2 linked regions of the Ovis aries genome follow. The protein of the gene in region 1 interacts with the protein of each later gene in a pairwise test. Links are inferred from orthologs where the notes say so. Each region holds a gene or a part of one and is shown on either strand. Other genes may lie near its edges.

The links.
Region 2: the proteins of RBM10 (region 1) and RBM12B interact in a two-hybrid assay, tested with the Homo sapiens proteins (3 studies listed by BioGRID). The link is inferred for Ovis aries from reciprocal best matches to the Homo sapiens genes RBM10 and RBM12B.

Annotation. Positions count from the first base shown.
Region 1 is NC_056080.1:57,646,370-57,650,013, forward strand, and holds part of RBM10 (RNA-binding protein 10), read right to left. Parts: intron 2,547-3,644; coding exon 2,363-2,546; intron 886-2,362; coding exon 655-885; intron 1-654. UniProt on the Homo sapiens protein: Binds to ssRNA containing the consensus sequence 5'-AGGUAA-3'. May be involved in post-transcriptional processing, most probably in mRNA splicing. Binds to RNA homopolymers, with a preference for poly(G) and poly(U) and little for poly(A).
Region 2 is NC_056062.1:83,453,931-83,457,674, reverse strand, and holds the start of RBM12B (RNA-binding protein 12B), read right to left. Parts: upstream 2,271-3,744; 5' UTR 2,137-2,270; exon of another isoform or gene 1,891-2,136; intron 1,474-1,890; exon of another isoform or gene 1-1,473.

The DNA of each region.
Region 1 (3,644 bases):
TGAGTGGAGCCTTCACAGGCCGTGAGGAGGAGGAGGAGAACTGGGTAGGGTAGTGAGGAGGCTATTCTAGTGGCCCACATGGGGTTTTCCTGCTCATGAAGGGAAGTTGGTACGGACAGGGAGGGAATGTCACACAGGCAGACGGGGTGGGAGGGCTGCAACAGCAGTGAAGGAAGGAGGACTCAAGGCTCTGTGGTTGTGCCAGTGAGGAGATCCGGGGCTGCTGGCAAAAGAGAGCAGGTGGTAGGGAATGAGAATAAAACCTCAGAAAATCCCATGGAGAGCCTCCCCAGCCTGCAGGGTCTCCACATCACAGCAATATCTGGCAGCGGGCCTGGTGAGCATTTGGCCTTTGATCGGCATATGCAGAAGGGATGATCACCAGCAGAATGCGTGGAAGGAATGCTCTATTCCCTCCCACAGCCACCGCTGCAGCTCCCTGGCCAAACCAGCCTGTGCCACACTCCTCCCTTCCAGACTAGGAGATGACGGGGCCTGCCCCGGGGGCAGAGCAGTGCTGGGGGACAGGGCTGGGGGGAGAAGGGCTGAAAGGTGCCGAGGAAGTGGGGGGTAAGGGAGGGGCTGAGGGCCCTGGAGGGGACCCAGCCTGGCCTCCTGCTCTGCCGCCTGCCCGGGGACATGGGGAGCACGTACGTCATCCTCAGTGGCTGCCTGTGGCAGCATCCTCAGCATGACGATGTTACTGGCCTTCTCCTCCTCCTCCTCCTCCTCCTCCTCCTCCTCCTCCTCCCCTTGCTCGGTCCGATAGTCCTGGTCCCGATAGTCGCCGTCTCGGGGGAAGCCTGGCGGGCCGGTAGGGCTGTGCCTGTGCCGCCGCCGCCGCCTACGCTGAGTCTCGGAGCCCGGGGAGGCCTCGTAGGAATCCTGGCCAACAGAATGAGACGAGAGACACCAGGCGGGCAGTCAGTCTGAGGGTGGGCCTAGGGGCTGGCCGCTGGCTCTCCGAGGCAGGCAGGCTCTGAAAGCCAGGGGTGGGCGGGCTCCGGCTAAAGGCTCGGGGCAGGCAAGGTGGGCAGGCCCTAAACTGCAATCCTCCTGGGAGCTGAAATTCTCCCTCAGATGCTTTGCGGGGGCTGCTTTGATGGGGAGTTGGGGAGAAGCAGGGGGCAGTGTTGGTGTCGGGGAGGAACTCCCACAGACAGGTGAGCAGACGTCCCTGAGACGAGACTGTTGGAGGTTGGCACACTAAACCCTACACTCTTTCTGCCCCCTCCCCCCTCGCCAGCTCAGCTAGTACAAGCACAATTGTTCCCTGTGCCACAGAAGGCCACATGTCACTTAAGACTCCCAGCCTGGGCCCTGTCACCAAGTTGTGGGTTTAGGAATCGCTTAAGACCTCGGCCAGAGTCAGCCAGCAAGGGCTGGCAAAGATTGCGAGGACTACAGCACTGCCCCTCGGTCCCTGATCCACTGCCTGGCCAGTCCTCCGTCACCACCATGCTCCTTCCTAACAGGGTGTGGTCATGGGATTCCTGGGCATTGCCCAAACCCTTTGCTCAGCACTAAGCAAGGCAGGCCTGGGTCCATGCCCATCCTACCCTCACGGGGGCCGAAAACTCAACTCTCCACTCTTGCTGGTCCACCCAGGGCCCACCCGGTGCTCTGGACACATCCAGGCACAGCTCACAGTTGCCACCAAGGAAGCCTGACTGCCCACCATAGGGGTCTTTGTGCTGGACCCCCAGAGGGTGGCTGGCTGCCCATATTCTAATTCCCAGGGCTGGGGTTGCAAGGGTACCCTTCCCACTCCTCTGTACCTGTGTGGACCAGGGCCCTGAGTACCCCCTCAACCTGGGGTTCGCATAAGGCAAGGCTGCTTCATCTCAGATGGGGGCTCCCTGATGGTGGGCATTATGCCTTCCCCTCAGGCCAGGGCTAACTATCCAATATGGAAGTGGCTAGCTGGAGCTCAGAGGAGAGTCCTGAGGGGGCTTTCCTTTCTGTCTAGGGGCTCTGCCACCACTGGGAATGCCCACACTTAGCCTCCCAGAGCCACTCCGCTTGTTGATACCCACGTGACATCCAGGTACCCTCCTGACCCTAGATGCTGGGTCCCCAAACTGGCTGGGAGCAGGCAGTAGAGGGCTTGCAGTGAACCCTGAAGAACAGGGAAGAAGGGAGAGAGGTGGTGGCCAGGGGACCTCAGAAGTACAGAGCCAAGCATGTGGAGGTCAGGGAGACCCAACCTGGGAGAGGAGCCCTCAGAGAGGGGAGTGGGGACAGACCCTTCAGGTGAGGCAAAGCCCTTGAGCACAGTCTGAAGGCATGGGAATGGAGAGCTACTGCACGCGGGGCTGCAGCCAGATCAAGGCCCTGCAGGAGCCGGCCCCCCAGCCCTCACCTCTGCACTCTGCTCCTCGGACGAGTCATCATAGTCATGCTTGCCCTCCTGGCTGCCGTACTCGCGGGGATATGAGCGGTAGTCCATGTCTCTGTAGTCATGATCCCGGCTACGGTTTTCCCCGCTGTCATCCTGTGAACGATCGGTGGCTCCGTAACGGCCAGTCCTGTCTCCACGTCCCCCTCTGGGGAAAGAAGGACAGGAAGGGATGAAAGGACAGTCCTTTCCGAAAGAGGTCCTCAGCTCCACCCCCACAGGGATCCCTAAGGCCAACCCCTAATTCCCAGGCTGCCACCACCTCTCCCTCAAAGCCAGCCCACTTCTCTCCTTCCCTTCCCCACCTCTCCATTCCCTCACTGGGCCTTCAGGTGTAGCCCCCTGCCTGGTCTCCTCAGCTTCCACCCAGGCCTCCTCCAGTTCATTCTCTCCACCCTCAAAGCAAGTGAGTGTTTCATAAGGCAAAGCCAACCAAGCCCAACCACAATGCTCCTCCGATGGCTTCCTCTTATTCTCAAGACACCAAAATGCTCACCAAGATCCTACAAGGCCTGCAGGGTCCTGTGGGCTGAGGTCCCTGCCGACCTCTTTCCCTTCAGCTCCCTGGGCACTGCACCACTCTGCCCCTCTGTTTCATGGTCACCTTGCTAGCGCTGGCAGCTGTTTTGTTAAATTTCTCCTACTGAAATAACTAAAATAATTAGCTCAACACTGATTTAATGTGCATTTATTTGGTGATTGAGTCTGGGGAAGGGACCACGCCTATTTGGTTCACTGCTGTATTCCCCAAAGCTTAGCTTAGTGCCTAATACCCAGCAGGTGCCCAATAATTCTCTTTTGATAAAATAATGACTCTAAAGAGCACTAAGTCCTAACCACTGGACCAGCAGGGAACTCCCAGTATTCTAAATGCAACCAATACGTATCTACTTAAAACAAGAAAAACTGGACACCAACATAGACTACTAGCTAGACTACTACTAGCAGGATCGTAATCCTGGTTAGAAATGACACTAGAATGCCCATTATCAACACCATGATTATTATTCTAAGAAACTAGCTAGTAAACAATTAAACAAAGGAAAAAAGAGATTAAAAGCTGGAAAGGAGATGGTAAAATTACTATTACTTGTAGATGATATGAGGATGTATCTGCCTCTGCCTCAGCGAATCAATGGAAAAATCATTACAAATAAATCAGTCAAGATGCTGTGTTCAGAAATTAATATTCAGGAATAAATACCTTGCTGGTATTCAGAGAGCCACTGTTCAGAAATCAGAAGAT
Region 2 (3,744 bases), on another chromosome or scaffold:
GATGGCAGGCCAGCAGGCTCCCCCATCCCTGGGATTCTCCAGGCAAGAACACTGGAGTGGGTTGCCATTTCCTTCTCCAATGCGTGACAGTGAAAAGTGGAAGTGAAGTCGCCCAGTTGTGTCCGACTAGTAGGACCCCATGGACTGCAGCCTATCAGGCTCCTCTGACCATGGGATTTTCCAGGAAAGAGTACTGGAGTGGGGTGCCATCACCTTCTCCAATTAGTGAGGTTTACTATAAAATATTAATGCATGAAAATGGTGGTGCAGACATAGGACACATAAAAAATCTTTGTACTTTCCACTCAATATTACTGTGAACATAAAAAAAATAGTTCTAAAACTTAGTCTATTGGACAATATCTGCAATGGTACCCCCCAAACACCCCAAAAATGAGTATAAGCTTAATTTCTTCAACAAACCCACACCAACATTTTAATAAAAACTACAAATGGCTTCTGGAATAGTTGTTCACATTAGTATTCCAAGACTCTTTCCTATGCAAAATGACTTAGCTCCTGTTACTTTTGGCAAGTAGTGTAAAACATTTTATCCCTGCTAAACTTTTAAAAACATAGCCAAGAACATTTCACAAAATAATTACTGTCAAGTTTTTAAAAGTCTTATAATTTACCAATTTGAAAACATTTTAACTAAGTAGTTTCATGAGTACAAATTCATGAATTCCAATTCAAAAATATAAAAAATTTTTTTCTTCTAATTTGCCACAGCGAAACATAACTATTGCTTAAACTGTTTTGCCCTTGAAATAGAAGGGTAATGTACTATTTATCCCTCTACAGAAATACACTTAGGAGATCACCTGTAAGAAACCAGATATCAAAATGAGCAACTTTCCTGTAGTTTCCACGTGATTTTCCTAAGCAAATACCCCAGAAATTCTATTCTTAGAACTACACAAAAAGCAAAAAACCCTACTCAACACTTAAAATGCGTCTTACGAATGCAACAAAACCATGTTTATAGCTGTGTTGATTAAGAGTGAGTTATTACAACTTCTTTTTTTTCCCCAAAAAAAGGAACTGAATCCTTAAAAGCTCGTTTAAGTGTAAGTGGCTGAAATTAACAAGCTCATTTTAAATAACTTAGCTGATTTTACCCAACGATTCATCCCACTTAATCATTATCACAAAAACCCCACGAAATGCTTATTTTCTAATCAAGCCTTAGAGGGAAATGGAAGGAAAGCTAACTTAAAATGGTATTATCTCCGATCCATTTATCATAACTAGAGAATAGCAAGTCATTTTCCAGACATGGTGAGAGAGAGATAACTGCTATTTCTTAAAACCTAAAGTTATGATGAAGTACATTTAAAATGCAAGAGTGAACCCTGCAGAAAATAATCTACCCCACTCCATAAGGGTTCTTTATGACGATTTGCCTTTTTATCCTTTTATAACGTAGATGATTAAAATAAAAAGCCAAAGCCATGACGACAGAGCCTGGTCCCCAGTAGAAACTGGAAATGAAGGCGAATCCACACGGCACCGGAATTCCCATTAACATCCATCCTCCTCAAATGGGGATCATCCGAAGGCATTGCTTCTATAGCTCAAAAAGCCTTTGTCCAGACTCCCAGGGGTCAGCGCTTCCTTCTTGTGCTCCAGGCCAAAGTTCCTACGTGGGATCCGATGTTCTTGCCAGACCTTCAGCCAAATCAGCCTTCAAATCAACCTGGACCACCCAACCTCCGTGCCTTTCCGTTACACCGGCTCAAGGGCAAACATTCCGCCCCGACTCGCCCAAGGGTGAGCTGTCCCTACACCTGAACACTTGGGCTCCCCTCAAGCCTAAAACTAGCCAGGCCTCCAAGCGCTTTTCCTGCCACCACTGACTACGATGACATAGCAAAGAAAAACAAGTACCTATGGAATCCTTCCAGATCTCCACTCTCTCAAGCCGACTGAAAAGGGCACGCACAACACCACATGAAGGCTGCCGGGAAGTCGGGTGCGTTTAGCAGGGGAAAAGAGGGTGCCCTGACGGCAGAAGCTACGCTCGCTGCTGGCGCGGCCCCGCCTTTCCCTGTGCTTCGGTCCCGGCCGCCAGGCCCTCCCCACGCCCGACGCCCCTGCGGTAATTGCTTCGCACTAGGGCGATCAAACACACACCGCTGCCGCCGAGTCGGAACCCCAAGGCTGGGGGCGGGGAGCTCTCCTCGTCCGCAGCAGCCTCCCCAGAGCCGGGAGAGCCCTCAGCGAACCCAGAAGAAGATGGCGCCCACTCTCTCCCCTCCGATCCGGACAAACGGACGTACGGTGGCTCTGCCCATGCGCTCTGCAGGCGTCCCCCCAACCCCCACCCCCCCTCCCGTCGCCTCGGTCCGTCTGCGCACGCGCCCTAACGTTCGCAGACTTCCCGTTGTCAAGCGGGAGGGAGGAGACGCCGGGGCGCGCGCTTGCCAGCGGCCCGGCGGGACCAAGCTATTGCGCATGCTCAGAGCCCGCGCCGCGCGCGACTCTCTACGGGGCGGGCGGAGAGCTTCCGTTAACAGGAGTTTGCTGTCAGCAGACGGCTGTGATGGGGAACGTGTGTAACAGCCGAAGTACACTAGACGAACGTTCGTGATTCCCAAGGGCTACGAAAAGAGTCGCAAAAGCAGAGGAAACACTTTTGGATGCTGACTAACGCCCCATGGGACTCCTGGGCGCGGAGGCCTTTTTGTCCCCTTTTTGTTTCTTTGGCTTCCCTGGTGGCTCAGACGGCAAAGCGTCTGCCCGCAAAGTGGGAGTCCCGGGTTCGATCCCTCAGTCGGGAAGATCCCCTGGGGAAAGAAATGGCAGCCCAGCCCAGTATTCTTGCCTGGAGAATCCTATGGACAGAGGAGCCTGGCAGACTACATACGGTCCATGGGGTCGCAAAGAGTCAGACAGTTCCTAATCAAAGGAGGAACAGCAACGAAATCACCACAGGCCGGATTTAAGCTCACCAAGATTAGGAGACTGGAATATTTTTGCTCGATCCGGTGCCTCCTGCGTCCTTCATTGGCAGGCACATTCTTTGCCGCTGACCACCAGGGAAGCCCCGCGTCACTCCTGATCATGCACAAAGCTGTTTTCTTGGGATCTGCTTTCCTCAAACGGTTCACCACTTTCTGTACAACAACTTTATTTTTTCCAATCAAACAGTCAGCTTTAAGTCAGACCGATTTCCTTTTCCCTCGATAAAATTCAACTCCATTCCACATGCCATCTTTACTGATAACTTACACCCTGCTTTCCTATTGTTTGCTGAAAATTTTTTATTTCTGTTAGCTTTAATCACATACTTAAATTATAATCCTCGTCTCTTAAAACCTTCATTTCCTGTGAAAACTAAGAAGTAAGCAATTAATGTCCTCTGCATTAGTATTTTGTAGACTAGTAACAAATACCAGTGATAATTTCTAAAAAAAAAAAAAGCTTTCAGATTGAGAACATCGCAGGGCGACACCAAACACATTCATTAATAGTTTTAAATATCTTTAGTTTCTCTGTAAAAGGAAGTCATTGTTCAGTAATTCATGTTTCAGTATCTTATTTGGGAATGACCAGCTATTCAATAAACTTTCCTCAATTTAATACAACTCCAGAATTTTAAGTTAGCAAAATTGCAAAGACTATTTTAGAGATTTCTAAAGCATATTCATTCTTAACCGTTTATCTAAACGTTCTGATCTCACTTACATTTTCTATCCCTAAAAGTTTCCTTATATTGAATTGGGCCATCACCAGCTGATG